Linked DNA regions of Saccharomyces cerevisiae S288C. The gene in region 2 interacts genetically with the main gene of each other region. Each region holds a gene or a part of one and is shown on either strand. Other genes may lie near its edges.

Region 1 (4,341 bases), on a different chromosome or scaffold from region 2:
ATCGCTGCACGTTCTGTTGCAGATGCCATCCGTACTTCATTGGGTCCCAAGGGTATGGACAAGATGATTAAGACATCTCGTGGAGAAATCATCATCTCTAATGATGGCCACACCATTCTAAAACAGATGGCCATTCTGCATCCGGTGGCCAGAATGCTAGTAGAGGTTTCTGCCGCGCAGGACTCGGAAGCCGGTGATGGTACCACTTCTGTGGTGATCTTGACCGGAGCTCTATTGGGTGCTGCTGAGAGGCTGTTAAACAAGGGCATCCATCCAACCATCATTGCGGACTCCTTTCAAAGTGCTGCGAAGAGATCTGTCGATATTCTTTTAGAAATGTGCCATAAGGTTTCGTTGAGCGATAGAGAACAGCTGGTTCGTGCTGCATCCACTTCTTTGAGTTCCAAGATTGTGTCTCAATACTCTTCGTTTTTGGCGCCCTTGGCAGTGGACTCCGTATTGAAGATATCTGATGAAAACTCTAAGAATGTTGACCTGAACGATATCAGACTGGTCAAAAAAGTTGGTGGTACCATTGATGACACAGAAATGATAGATGGTGTGGTCTTGACACAAACGGCAATCAAATCTGCTGGTGGTCCGACAAGAAAGGAAAAAGCAAAGATTGGGTTAATTCAATTCCAAATATCTCCTCCAAAGCCCGACACAGAAAATAATATCATCGTTAATGACTATAGACAAATGGATAAGATCCTTAAAGAAGAAAGAGCGTATTTGCTAAATATCTGTAAAAAAATTAAAAAGGCCAAGTGTAACGTGCTGTTGATTCAGAAATCCATCTTGAGAGATGCGGTAAATGATTTGGCTCTTCATTTCTTGTCAAAATTGAACATAATGGTGGTAAAGGATATCGAGAGAGAAGAAATCGAGTTTCTGTCGAAGGGCTTGGGTTGTAAGCCAATTGCTGATATAGAATTGTTCACCGAAGATAGATTGGGTTCCGCTGATTTAGTTGAGGAGATCGATAGCGATGGTTCCAAGATAGTTAGAGTAACTGGTATAAGAAACAATAATGCAAGACCAACCGTCTCTGTTGTTATTCGTGGTGCAAACAACATGATCATTGATGAAACAGAGCGTTCCCTCCATGATGCACTATGTGTTATTCGTTGTCTAGTGAAAGAGAGAGGTTTAATCGCTGGTGGTGGTGCTCCAGAAATTGAAATATCCCGTAGGTTGAGTAAGGAAGCAAGGTCTATGGAAGGTGTACAGGCTTTTATTTGGCAAGAATTTGCCTCTGCTTTGGAAGTTATTCCAACGACTTTGGCTGAAAACGCAGGTTTGAATAGTATCAAAGTTGTCACAGAATTGCGCTCTAAGCATGAAAATGGTGAATTGAATGACGGTATCTCTGTTAGACGATCTGGTACTACGAACACCTATGAAGAACACATCTTACAACCCGTACTTGTTAGTACAAGTGCAATTACCTTAGCGTCTGAATGTGTTAAATCCATCTTACGTATTGATGATATTGCATTCAGCCGTTAACATGGGTTTCCCAGTATCCATATGTTTATGCATATATACATATATATGTTGATTTAGTGTATTTTCCACTACATAAAAACTAAAAAACATTCAAAATGAAAAGTCAGGACCCTTTTCAAAAAGGATCGCAATTATACTATTTTAAAAGTTTAAAAGCGTTTCTCTTTAATGCGTAGGATACTCCGCTCATTATTGTGGTCGTGGCGGTTACATACCCTAAATAGCTAAAGGCCTTTTGAAAGTCCTGTTTTCTATCTTCGAAATCCTCCTCGGTTTTTTCACAGCCCTCTTCTTTCTCATATAAAAGTAATAATACTCCAGATCCAAGATATACCATTTGGAAAAACGTGTTCCATTTTGATAGTTGGGAAGGTCTGACCTCAGCGCTGGGATAGCGAACAATATCCCAATAGGAATTCCATGCCACACGACCAGGATATTTCAACTTTAAAGTGCTATATCGTATAAACAAAGCACTTATGGCTAGTAGCACATCTCTACCCAGAATTATCGCCGCAATAGATACCGGTATAATCTGAGGGCCGGATGGTACAGATAATGCCAAAGTTGTTGTGATCATGAGTAGTTTATCTGCAAGTGGATCTAATATGGTTCCTGCAATGGTTTTCAGGCCGTATTTTCTTGCTATATACCCATCCATAAAATCAGTGATGCTGGAAAATGCAAACAAACCTAATGCTGGGGTCAAATTATTCGTTATAATGAAGAGTCCGATAAAGGGTGTACATCCTATTCGTGATAAAGTCAAAATGTTGGGAATATTGAGCAACTTGCTCTTTATATGAGGAGTTTTACTCGGATTGGTAGCATATTCCCTCCTAGTGAGATCTCTGAAAAGATTGTAATTTAATTGCGGGTTTACCTTAAAGCGTACAGTTAACCCTGATAACACATGATAGAATGGCCTTTTCGGTATAGTTCTCCGAAGTAATGCGGAGCATGAATAAATGGGCACCATTTGAATCATTGACTAAATTATTAGGGACCAAACTATGCTACCAGGCCTGCTTGTTTCTCAATTGCCTCCTTTCTATATTTTTTCAATTGTAAATATTGTATACTCCCGATTAAGAGGATGGCTTCATGAATCGAGCTTTTTCACACTCCAGTTTCGGAAATAGTCGCCGCACAATGATTCGAAGACATGACTGTGAAGTGTTGGTTGACATTTAATATGGTTTCATGTAAGAGATCCCAGAGCTACGGACTTGGCTTTTTCTTCCTGTAATTGTTTGCCAAACGTTGGGTAAACGCACATATAAGTATATTTTACTTTCCTTCTCCCTTCGTCAGTTTTTCTTTTGCTGTAATATATTGTTCTCAAAAGTTGTTTGGTATACAAAAGTGCAAGGTTTTTACTGGTTGTTACAGGTTCAGAGTTCCAATAAAGAAGATATTAGAACGATCTTATCAATATTATCCAATTTCAACTAATATGAATGTATTAGTCTATAATGGCCCAGGGACTACGCCAGGATCAGTTAAGCATGCTGTTGAAAGTTTACGTGACTTTTTGGAACCCTATTACGCCGTCAGTACTGTCAATGTTAAGGTATTACAGACAGAACCATGGATGTCAAAGACCTCCGCTGTAGTTTTTCCTGGTGGTGCCGATCTTCCTTACGTTCAAGCTTGTCAACCCATTATTTCTCGATTGAAACATTTTGTTAGCAAACAAGGTGGTGTCTTTATCGGATTTTGTGCAGGAGGTTACTTTGGCACCAGCCGTGTAGAATTTGCTCAAGGTGACCCTACAATGGAAGTATCAGGAAGCAGGGATTTGCGATTCTTTCCGGGAACAAGCAGAGGACCTGCGTACAATGGATTTCAGTATAACAGCGAGGCCGGTGCACGTGCAGTTAAATTGAATCTTCCAGATGGCTCACAGTTCTCAACTTATTTCAATGGAGGAGCCGTTTTTGTTGATGCAGATAAATTTGATAATGTCGAGATCTTGGCCACGTACGCAGAACACCCGGATGTGCCTTCTTCTGACTCAGGAAAAGGTCAAAGTGAAAACCCAGCTGCTGTAGTGCTATGTACGGTCGGAAGAGGAAAGGTTTTACTCACTGGACCACACCCTGAATTCAACGTCCGTTTTATGAGGAAATCCACAGATAAGCATTTTCTTGAAACCGTTGTGGAAAACCTGAAAGCACAGGAAATCATGAGGTTGAAATTTATGAGAACGGTTCTTACCAAAACTGGGTTGAATTGTAATAATGACTTCAATTATGTAAGAGCTCCAAATTTGACACCACTGTTTATGGCTAGTGCACCTAATAAGCGGAATTACTTGCAAGAAATGGAAAACAACTTAGCTCATCATGGAATGCATGCAAATAATGTTGAACTCTGCTCAGAATTAAACGCCGAAACTGACTCTTTCCAATTTTATAGAGGCTATAGAGCCTCTTACGATGCAGCAAGTTCGTCCTTGCTTCATAAAGAGCCAGATGAGGTTCCTAAGACCGTAATATTTCCTGGCGTAGATGAAGATATTCCACCATTTCAATATACGCCCAATTTTGACATGAAAGAATACTTCAAGTATCTGAATGTTCAAAACACCATAGGTTCTTTACTTCTATATGGTGAAGTTGTTACATCAACGAGTACCATATTGAATAATAATAAATCCTTATTAAGTTCGATCCCTGAAAGCACTTTACTTCACGTGGGTACTATTCAGGTTTCTGGGCGTGGGAGAGGTGGTAACACTTGGATTAATCCTAAAGGTGTTTGCGCATCAACGGCCGTCGTAACAATGCCGCTTCAATCGCCTGTGACTAATCGAAATATATCAGT
Region 2 (5,945 bases):
CATCTAGGTCGAAATCTTGATCTTTCTTAAATGCGCCACCCAAATTGGTCTTACCTTTGACTTTCTTCTTACCAGCACCCCCAGTAGCAGTACCACCTCTAACACGGGCCAGACGAGCTTGCCTCTCCTCTCTTTCCTTATCTTTGATCAAAACGTTCAAAGTAGCAACTGTTTGTCTTATAGATTCGATGGACATTGGTTTTGCTACATCTCTAATCAAATCAATCGCTAACGATGAGGAGTAGTTCAGCGGAGATTTTTTGTTCATTGGTGTAATAGCAGCAGTAAGAGCCTTTCTTAAATCCTGGTACTCTCTCTTTGTTTCGGCGTTAAACAAAGGATGTGTTTCGATAGGTGTGTCCTTGGTAAAGGCGGGTCTTTTTAGAGCTTGTTCCTCTTGTTCCTTTTGTAAAGCACGAGCCCTTGGATGTTCTTCGGCAACACCTAAACCCGCAAACAAATCTGCAGCATTGTTTAAGTCAGACTCCATTTCAGCCTTTTTGATTAATTCTTTACGTGTCTTTTCATCCAATGTGTCAATATCCAATAGGGCTCTGTCAGCGGAGGATTCTTTCCCTTTTTTAACCTTTTTTGGTTGTTCTTTTTTTGGCTTTGGGGCAGGCTTCTTTTCTTCCTCTTCTGCATCCCATGATTGCATGACAGGTTCGTCATCACCAATTTCAGCATCCCATGAGTCCATCAAAACGGCGTCATCATTACCCATAGAACCATTGATAGCTTCGTCGTCCCAAGACATTTTTATTACTTTTTTTTTTTTGAGGTGGTGGTTAGGATAGAATAGTTACAAGGAACTCAAAAGATAGTAAGATAATTTAAAGCGAGAGTTCAAGAATGGTGGGAGCAGTCAGTTCTCAATTCTTTAATGTAGTACTTCTGACTTAGCTAGCATGAAAAAAAAATTCGGAAAATGCCCAAAAACAGGTGTGTTCGTCTAATATGATACAGGGACGACCATAATATCAAGATTAGTGACATTTGATGTATAGTTTAGCAGAATGACTGTTATAAATAAATAATTATATATGTGTGTATATTAAATTTTGTTGAACCAGCGCTTATTTACAATTTTTAGGACGTGACCAAATGCGAGCTGCACTAGTTTTCTCAATTTCGCTCGCCCATGGTGATATCTTTAAAGATCTTTAAATGGGAACATCAAAACTGAGGATTTCTCGCCTCTTCGAGTTTTTGGATAACAAATGCCATGCCCATTCTGCTTTTCTTAACGTTTTCGTCAAATTTAGTGCGCGACCAATCCTCTACCTTAGATTTGATACCCATATTGAAGCCACTTGAAAACTTCACCCGGCTGTCTGCTATCGTACTACTTGTAGCACTGTCAAATTGATAGGTAGTATATTCTTCAACCTTCATGATTCCAGTGTGATCCAGATTCCTAGTGTAAGTTTTCATTGTGGAGTTAGCGGGGTTCACTACGGAAACTTCGATTATCCATGTTTCTGTTATACCTCTTAAAAAGGGTTTGACCCATGTGGGCAGCTTTCCGGACTTTTTCAACAGCCTCGTTGTGCGCAAATTTCCTTCTTGATCAACGTTCCTTGATATTGTGTCTATGGATAGTACATGGGGGGAGTATGGATTGGGGTATCTATTAAAAAAGGCGCGTGAAACAGAGGCAAAATCGGTAGGAAATATATGTGTGCTTTTGTGTAAAAGGACCATTGCAACTCTTAAGGATATCTTACCGCCGTCTCAGAAGCCAGACAATACTTATTGAATATGATTACTCATCCATCTGTCATATATATTTTTTTTTTCTAGCTTATTATCCAGGGAGAGCGAGAAATACTGCGGAGTTTTTCACCCGAAAGAAAAAAAATACGCAAGCACGATGATAACAATAGTTATATTATTGGTTACCTACAGTGTATAAAAAGAAAGAGTTTTATTAAAATGCAGAACTATGTGGTGGTATACAGAACTGATTATACATTCTATAACAAAAGGGCACCAACGGCGAATGCACCCGCACCATAAGCTATGTGAGTGCCGGCAAAGGCGCCATTGGTAGAATTGGACATTACGGACGCTACCTTACCGTTGACTGTAGACTTGTATGTAGTGGTCAGTGTCTCTACTGTAGAACCTGACGTAGTGGTATAAGTTGATTTGATAGTGCTTACTACCTTGGTGCTTGATTCCGGTTTTGATGAGGATCCCGAAGATGATTTACTTGATGAAGCCGTGTTGTCAGTTGTGGCTGAGGACGGTAGCCACCAAACAGTAGATGTGTAAGTCTCACCTAACGAATTCGTGGTAGTTACTATAGTAACTGGCCCGTCCGTTGATGTTGATGTCGTTGAGGAGGATGCGGAGTTGGTGATTCCGCTTGACGTCTCTCCGGTGGGCTGCACAGAGGCAGTTGAAGTTGTGCTTACGGCAGAGTTGCTTTCGGCCACCCACCATAGGTACTGTGTCGTGGTTTTGCCTTGTGCATCCGTCGTCACTACGGTGGTACTTGGAGCCACAGCATAGGTGTTGCTGACGACGTTGCTAGTTTGTACTAAGCTTTTTCCGGTAGAAACTACAGTTGATGCGCTTTCTTGGGCTTCCTTTGTCGTGGTAGGTGTGATCTCTTGAGAGTTTGAGCTTTCCTTTTGTGAGCTATCTTCAGAGTTCTGGCCATCTAAGGAACCAGAGTCTTTTTGAGCAGCGGCTAGAGTAATTAAGGTGGTAAATAATATGGAACAGGCCTTCATTTTATATATATGTTGGGTTTGTTTATATTTTCACTAGATCGGTGAGTATCTAGTCCAGAAGAGTTGATCTTTCTTACATACTTATATATGCTCACTACCGCCTTCTGAGAAAGTAGGCGTTTTTCAGCTACCTCAGTCGCTAAAAATAAATGCGAGTTCTCAAGCCAACTTGGACTCCAAGGCGGTAATTATAGTGATTCTCTTTGTCTATTTTTGGATTTATTTTGGAGGCTGACACTCTAAAGCCAGCCATTGGATTAATTATTTTTTCACTTCGTCAATTGACTATGCGGAAAAACTAAATGTGGTCAAATTCTGTCGGCTATGTACACGAAAACTATATACGCCTCGTCCTTTCAGCCACTACAACATAACAACACCGACATTGCTACGCCTTTTAATGTCGTTACTATTGTCGGGATTCAAGCCACCGGTAATCGGCTTTGCTCTATAATTAAATAAATAGAAGTTCAAGAACCCGTCACCGGGCCCGAACTTCAAATCATCCAAGAACAATGTATTATCTTGCGAAGTCAACGCGTTAAAAACATCCATATTAGCGTTTTTGGCCAAAATACAAGCGTCATAAATCAATTCACACAATCTTGTTTTCAAAGCCTTAGTAGCTTTTGGATCAAACCTGTCTTTGAATTGGAAATCTGCATCGGTGGCATAATAATACAAGTACCCGATGCCTAGGTCCTTATATTTTGTGTTATTTAGGATTGTGAATGGCAATGAGTAAAATGAGAAGAAGTCTGTAATTTTTCCATCGGGCTGTTCGACTACATATGAGAAAATTACTTGTTTATCCAATGGTAACGATTCTTCACCAATGAAATTATGTTCGAATTCTTCTTTTGTGAAAATTTGAATTAGTTCGAACCTGGATTGATATCTTTTGAACAACTCAAAAACTTGGTCAATATCTTCCTTCTTTAATTTTCTCAATCCCGCTGTCTTTGTTTTGGCCGGTAACGCATTCTCAGCAATCATATCCTCCTCTGTGTGCCCATCTGGTAACCCTGTGAAATCTACTTCATAAAGTTTCTTCCAATTCAAGGGACGATGAGTATAACGACACGTACTCACAGGTGCTGGCAAAACAATACCTGCCGTGTACAATGCATGCCAGATGTCACATTTGTTCACTCGTCTCGTAATTTCTTTAATTAGAACAGGTGTTAATCTCTTCGATCTTAGCTGTTTGTGAACGCACAAGAAATTGATTTCTACACTAGGCACTTGTTTACCTCTAACACCAAGTGTTACTGGTATGGCTGAGATAAAGGCAACTAATTTCTGTGTTTCTTTAACGCGAACACCAATATGCCAATCCTTCTTCCAACCTGGACTCTTTAAAGCCCAATTGAAGAATTCTTTGGTATAGTTAAATCTGAAGCCTGCATCGCGGTCTTCCACGTAGTTTTCATTTAGTAGAACGAAAACATCTTCAAGCTGTTTTTTGTTGTCCACATCAATACTACACCATTCGAAGCTAGACAATAAAGGTAGTGGCTTGTCAGATATATCTTCCGGTGTCTTTGGCTTATCAATGGGGCCTTCTTCCACCACCTTTTCATCGAAATCTTTGACCGGTTGCGTTCTCCAGAATTTGTGGTCTTTCATAGCTTTTTTCTGTTCTTGAGTGAATTTTGAAGTATCGTCATTATTCAACTGTAATAACTTCAATAAATTCTCTAATTTTTTCGCTTTATCCTCTTCTGACATTCTATAAATACGTTTACTACCGAAGCTCTATGACAACCAGAGCTATTGTACAGATCATTCTCTAAAAAGCGTGCAACACATATCATCTTCAATTATAGTGAATTACTTTTATCATGAGCAACGGCTGAAATTATTTTATCCTATTGTTTTATGACAGTATCCTTTCAAAAGAGTCGAAAGGATCCTCTGTTGCAAGAACTACTATTACGTAATTATACATAGTCCGCCTGCAATTTCTAGTGAGACTTTGCTTTGCTTTCCACTTTGCGATTAATATTGAGAATTTTAAACGTTAACTGAATTCTTACCCACCCATAATAAGAACTCTAACTGGCGAATTTATCATGAAACAAATCTGCAAGAATAAAAAATTAGAGAATCGTGCAATTCAATTTAATTGCCTTGTCCGTTGTAAAACTTTTCCATAGGCCCTACCTTGAGTTGATCATATGTATTATTCTATATATATTATATCCAGTCGGGTAATAAATTTTCTCGCCCTCGAAAAAAAGAAGTGAAAAATTTGTCTCGATGAGCTGAGATGAGTTTGAAAGAAGCAAAGAGTTTTAATTTGTAAACGATAGCAAGTGTACCCTCAGTTGAGTCTATTACGCCTTCCTTATTTGGAAACTTAGAAGACGAATAAAAAAAACAAAATAACTAATGATTTCTGCTACTAATTGGGTTCCAAGAGGGTTTTCCTCGGAATTTCCTGAAAAGTATGTTCTGGATGATGAGGAAGTGGAAAGAATTAACCAATTAGCACAGTTGAATTTGGATGATGCTAAAGCTACTTTGGAAGAAGCAGAAGGCGAATCAGGTGTTGAAGATGACGCCGCAACAGGTAGTTCTAATAAGTTGAAGGATCAGTTGGATATAGATGATGATTTGAAAGAATATAACCTGGAAGAATATGACGATGAGGAAATTGCAGATAATGAGGGTGGTAAAGACGTTTCCATGTTCCCGGGTTTAAGTAATGATAGCGATGTTAAATTCCATGAGGGTGAAAAAGGTGAAGATCCATATATTTCATTGCCTAATCAAGAGGATAGTCAAGAGGAGAAGCAGGAGTTACAAGTTTACCCATCCGATAATTTAGTTCTTGCTGCGAGAACAGAAGATGACGTTTCGTATTTGGATATCTACGTTTACGATGACGGTGCTGGGTTCCACAGTAGCGATATTCCCGTTGAAGAAGGTGATGAAGCTGACCCAGATGTTGCTCGTGGATTGGTTCGTGACCCTGCACTTTACGTTCACCATGATTTAATGTTGCCTGCTTTTCCACTATGTGTTGAGTGGCTTGACTACAAGGTTGGATCCAATTCCGAAGAAGCAGCCAATTATGCTGCCATTGGTACGTTTGATCCACAAATTGAAATTTGGAACTTGGACTGTGTTGACAAGGCCTTTCCCGATATGATTCTGGGTGAACCTCTTGATAATTCAATGGTGTCTTTGAAAAGCAAA
Region 3 (5,630 bases), on a different chromosome or scaffold from region 2:
TTTCTTCGACAGAAGTAGAGATATCTTGAGTGTTTCCTTCAAAAGTCATATCTACTCTGGAGTATCTTGTGAACCTCCGCACCGGATAAATTCTGTAAAGTAATGACCATCCCTGATTTCTTATCATTTTCTACTTTTGATCACGTCTCTATCTAATGACGGTTTCATGCACCCTCTGACTGTTGTAATTTACGTATTATTATTCTGTTTAATTTATGCTATTTATGTAAATGAGTTCGGCCATGTCGGAGGAGAAAGATATCTTTTTTCAAATTTGAGTATCTGATTCGGGCTTATAATACATGCCCACGACATCGCTCGATCATATATTCCAACTCTTCAAGCTCCCTCTTCATTTTATTCTTCACGTTGAACGGTTCAAAGAGCCCCAGAAAATAGGTGCTGAGATCCAGACACTCCTTGTACTTACATTGGTAAAATAAACGATGGCAGAAACCACTAAGCACCTGTCGCTGATGCTTATTGGAGATATCGTACTTGCCTTCCCGGATCTCAACCAAGGGATCTACCTCATCCATCCATCCTACCTTTGTCCGCACAGGGCCTTGTTCTACTTCGAAGTAGTGCTGCAATTGCTGTGTATACTCTTCTTCCGTTTGACCTTTACGTATTTTAGTTTTCCCGGTGGATTTTCTAACAATTACTTCACCTGTTCTACCATCTAACGAGATTGGCTTAGTCACTGATTGATCCTTCTCTCCGTGGGCTTTCCTAAAACCTGTACTATAGTTTTTTTCCACCATTTTTGGTGCTTCTTCTCTATCAGATGCTTCTTTCATAAAAATTATTATCTTTCTTAGCTGTTATTCATCTTACATTTTTTTTTCAATTACGGCGAGGCGATGACTTCAATCGTTGCTGTCAAGATTGAATTGACAATTACAGTCGATGTTGAATATTAACTTATATATGACAGATCATTACAGCTAGTCTAGTTCGACAAGATTAGTAAGATTAGGAGTTATTTTTAACTGCTTATTATGCAAGTTGTGTAGGCCACAGGCGCAACTGAAAAACATAATTTCAGATTAGGCAGTTACTGGAAAGATCGCGTTCTTGTATTGTCTAAATAGAAGCAGTTGTTTTAATAATGCTTACAATTGAACTATGAACCAAAGCAATAATTTATGAGAAACTAAAATGGGATGCATCAGATCTTTGCACTCAATTGAGTTTAAAACTGTACAGGTACTAATATTATATTAACGCTGCTTCTATAACACTTGTTTTGACATGACGATAAGTGTAGTGTATTCAAATGCCGTATGTCACTTGAACACACAGGGAACTGCACTCTGCACTTCGGAACAAGATTGAAAGTTACTGTGTTATTAACCTTTGCCAACAAGCGAAAACAACCAGGTGTTTCTGCGGTTTACAAAATCTTTAAGGGATTGAGGTTAGTTGGCTCAAAGAGAAGAAGTTCCCAGTCGATGTATCAAGCAGAGCTAAGAGAAAAAGTGCCGCGAAAGGGTTTGATTGGTCAAGTTGGCTTGTTCATCAGGAACTAAATTAATCAAGGTGTGATTCTATCTGTCAACCCCCCCCCTTGATACTTCCTGTACTTAGAATCAATTTATTAAATACAAATTTAGAATCTGTGATTCGTAAATCTTAAGTGTTTAAATACTAAGTGTGTATTAAAGGCTTTACTTCAAGCAACGAAAAATAAATAACCCCGAATATATGAGGGGCAATAATACCTTTTCACTCATTTGATGAAAAAGAAAAGATGTTTGATGTTATAGAAAATACCTTATACCATATCTTCTACCTACTCATCAATATCAAACCCTCACAGAATAGAGATAAAGAACATCAGAACCATCTGGGCAATGTCATTTTTAAAGTTCGCTTATAGAAACTCTTGGCGATACTATAGCAAGTCCACACGGCATTTTCATAAAATACCTATAAGACAGTTCATAATACCTACGTCAATTGCTTTTTATTTGACACAAAATTCGTTTCCAAAACAAAATTGTTTGATATACAATGATTCTCTAAAACCGGATCCCAAAGGTGATACTTTTGAAATGGGCCTCTACGTTTCCTCAGAAAACGAATTGCAGGAAAAGCTTAAATCTTTCAGGTCTGCTAAGATCACTGAATCACGAAATAAATTAATAAGATATCTAAGAATCTTTTGGTTCGGTTTTAATGATAATATTGTTGAGCCTGTATGCACGATTTTAAGGTTTTTAGAAATTTCAGCTATTTTTTTACCTCTTCTCCTATTATACCCCATATCATGGTTTGGTCATAAACTCAAAATTACGGACACCAATATAACTGAAACTCGAGGTTCATTGATTTGGTGTCAACTACTGCGTAAAGCATTGGAATTGGCTGGCCCGAGTTTCATTAAACTCGGACAATGGGCAGGATCGAGAACCGATATATTCTCTCACGCACTGTGTCATGAGTTGGGTAAATTGCATAGTAACGTTACAGCTCACTCTCTAAGCTTTACTCTGGAAAAACTTTCTCAAGCATTAAAGGTTGACAAGATCGAAGATGCTTTTGATGAATTTAATCGAACACCAATTGGAGTTGGGTCCATCGCACAAGTTTACGTGGGTGAACTATCCCAAAAGTACATCGATAAATATGACAATATACAAATTGGTAAGGATGGAAATCGTTGGTGTGCCATCAAGATCTTGCATCCAAATGTAAGATCTCAGATCCGGAGAGATTTGAAAATAATGAAATTCTGTGCTGACGCAATAAATTGGATTCCGACTATGGAATGGCTGTCTTTACCCAGCGAAGTCGATCAGTTTTCCATATTAATGAATATTCAGTTGGATCTAAGAATTGAGGCGTTAAACCTGGAAAGATTCAATGAGAACTTTAAAAATTCTATTCAGGTGAAATTTCCTAAACCATTTCTCCCCTTGTCAAATAGGGATGTTATGTTCGAAGAGCATGTATATGGTCTTTCCATGGAAAAGTTTTTATCTACGAAGAAGCAAATTAACGACGTTGAACTTTGTAAAAAAGTCAGTGATCCCTTCGTTGACGCGTTTCTACAAATGCTAATTCTTGATGATTTTGTTCATGCTGATTTGCATCCAGGCAATGTTATAATCAGATTTGTGAAGACGAACAAATACGGCACAAACATTATATCCTCCGAACTTGAATCGTACAGAATAACGCACGACCTGAGGAAGAAGATAGAGGAGGACCAAGATCAGGACTTTGTTGGAAAACTGAAGTCTGTATTAACTAATTACACTCCCCAAATTTGTTTTATCGATACAGGAATAATTACAGAATTGAATGAAAAAAACAGAATTAATTTCATAGCTCTATTCAACGCATTGGCCCGATTTGATGGTTATAGAGCTGGTGAGTTGATGATTGAGAGATCAAGAACTCCAGAAACAGCTATTGATAAGGAAGTATTTGCGTTTAAGGTAGAAAAGCTAGTGGATAAAGTTAAACAAAGAACATTTACATTGGGAACCGTCTCAATTGGCGATTTACTCGATCAAATGCTTAGTATGGTAAGGTCGCACCATGTTAGAATGGAGTCCGACTTTGTTTCCGTGGTGGTCGCTATTTTACTTCTAGAGGGTATTGGACGCCAGTTAGATCCAAACTTGGACTTATTTGAAAGGTTCGTATTTTACGCATGGATTAACGGTTTTAAAGAATAACATCAATTTTTTAAAACCCTTTTCTATTGCTTTTTTTTGCTTTTTATTGCTACTAAAGAAATTCTTTTACTAACAAAAATACCCACATCTTGTAACTTCTCTTCGTAAACAGTTCGCTGCCTATATTACGTGAATTCGGGTTTAAGCGGGAAGCCAAAAGTCTCTTGAAAGATGCAAGCACATTATCAATGCTCAAGATATGGGTTGGTTTAGAAGTGCGTCAATTAATGCATCTCTCGATGAAGCAAATATACGATCTTGTCAGGACTGATCAATTGTGTCCTAATTATTAATATTCTTTCTTTTTATGCATCTTTTATAATTGCGACTTCCACGTGTTCGCAGGTGGAGCAATGTTACACACGCTGTCCCAACATATTAGCTCTCCAAAAAAACGACCAAGTTTATTTAAGTGACAAATAATAATTTGCTGTTGCTCTAGCTGAAATTTAGACCAGTGCTGTCATTATCGACTCGTAGTGTTCTTTTAATAGTAAATTTCGTCAAAACGTTTCTAATTCACTTAATAGCGCCAACTGAATAAGAGAATTATTTTTAGAACGTGCACATTATATTAAAAAGAGAGCGTTGGCTGACAGAAGTAAAAAATAAATTATTGTCTTACAAAGTGAGACTATTAAAGAGTTTAAGTTTTGCAATTAGTGCTTCATTGAACAATAAGGCAACGGTAGCAAAAAATTTAAACCCAACTAAGAAGGGAACCCTCATCAAATTACACAAAAATAGCCACTATCTCCAACTAAGGTGACAAACTACTGAAACTGTAAGGTCTTTATATAATCAAACAATATAATCAATGAAGTTCGGAAAAACCTTTGCCAATCATCGCATTCCAGAGTGGTCAAGTCAATATGTTGGCTACAAGTCGTTGAAGAAAATGATTAAAGAAATTACAAGACTTCAAGAAGACATATATAGGGCACATAACAAGAATAGCTATGATGAAGGCAGGCCACCAACAAAAATGAGAGATTCATCTAATAGTGCTCAAAATTATTTGGACTCTCCAAAAATCCAAAAGTTATTGGCGTCGTTTTTCTTTGCAGTTGACAGGGATATTGAGAAGGTTGATACATTTTACAATTCCCAGTATGCGGAATATAAGAAAAGATTTGAGAGATTGCTTTCTTCTAATCAATTCAATGAGATAAAATCAACATTAGTGGTCGATGCCAACAAAGAAGATGCAGTAGCGCAAACCTTACTCACAAAGGATACGAGAGAGATGAATATGCTTTTAAAGGGAACAAGTCAAGCCAGCCGTCTATCTTACCATAAAGATGACTTAATTGAAATTCAGTCTATCTTAGCTGAGTTAAGAAAACAATTTAGAAACTTAAAGTGGTACGCTGAACTAAATAAGAGAGCTTTTGGTAAGATTTTAAAGAAACTGGATAAAAAAGTCGGCACAAATCAGCAAATGTCAACTATGAAAACTAGAATCTTGCCGTTACAATTTGCTAATGATTCTCTTATTACCAAAGATTTGAGTTTGCTAAAAACTATCTGGGAACAAGTGACGTTCAGGATAAATTCTTACGAGAGAGTAATGAGGAGTACCTCGCCGAACGCAAATGCTAATGATAATACAGAATTCTTTAAGATTATTTGCGTTTTTATAGAAGAAGATGATAGCAAAGGATTGATTAGAGAGCTAACAAACCTATATTCGGAATTGTCTTTGATTCCAACAAGAATTATGATAAGTGTTTTAAACAAGGCAGCACTGTCTAAATCACTGGCATGTATTGATGCTATCTTAAAGGTTATTCCGTCTCTAAATGACTCGGAAGATATTAACAGAAGAAATTTTTTCCATCATCACATAATTGCAATCGGGAAGTTAATCAGAAAACAGGAAATTTTAAGTAGGAAAAAGAAGTCACAACCCTCAAAATATACTAATAGTGAGGGAGAAAT

What was found. A genetic interaction does not mean that the proteins touch.
Region 1: mutations in UPS1 (region 2) and CRD1 together harm fitness more than expected from each alone (negative genetic interaction), as found in Saccharomyces cerevisiae (4 studies listed by BioGRID, with this or other methods).
Region 3: mutations in UPS1 (region 2) and CQD1 together harm fitness more than expected from each alone (negative genetic interaction), as found in Saccharomyces cerevisiae (4 studies listed by BioGRID, with this or other methods).

Annotation. Positions count from the first base shown.
Region 1 is NC_001136.10:200,071-204,411, forward strand, and holds CRD1 (cardiolipin synthase), read right to left. Parts: upstream 2,501-4,341; coding exon 1,649-2,500; downstream 1-1,648. Other genes in the region: chaperonin-containing T-complex subunit CCT4, read left to right, coding at 1-1,512; biotin--[acetyl-CoA-carboxylase] ligase BPL1, read left to right, coding at 2,969-4,341. UniProt on the Saccharomyces cerevisiae protein: Catalyzes the synthesis of cardiolipin (CL) (diphosphatidylglycerol) by specifically transferring a phosphatidyl group from CDP-diacylglycerol to phosphatidylglycerol (PG).
Region 2 is NC_001144.5:538,833-544,777, forward strand, and holds UPS1 (Ups1p), read right to left. Parts: upstream 1,705-5,945; coding exon 1,177-1,704; downstream 1-1,176. Other genes in the region: HCR1 (translation initiation factor eIF3 core subunit j), read right to left, coding at 1-757; NCW2 (Ncw2p), read right to left, coding at 1,977-2,741; glycylpeptide N-tetradecanoyltransferase NMT1, read right to left, coding at 3,105-4,472; rRNA-processing protein PWP1, read left to right, coding at 5,136-5,945. UniProt on the Saccharomyces cerevisiae protein: Required for maintenance of normal mitochondrial morphology. Required for PCP1-dependent processing of MGM1.
Region 3 is NC_001148.4:343,616-349,245, reverse strand, and holds CQD1 (Cqd1p), read left to right. Parts: upstream 1-1,856; coding exon 1,857-3,649; intron 3,650-3,801; coding exon 3,802-3,982; downstream 3,983-5,630. Other genes in the region: DPC25 (Dpc25p), read right to left, coding at 1-127; YPL108W (uncharacterized protein), read right to left, coding at 294-800; GDE1 (glycerophosphocholine phosphodiesterase), read left to right, coding at 4,507-5,630.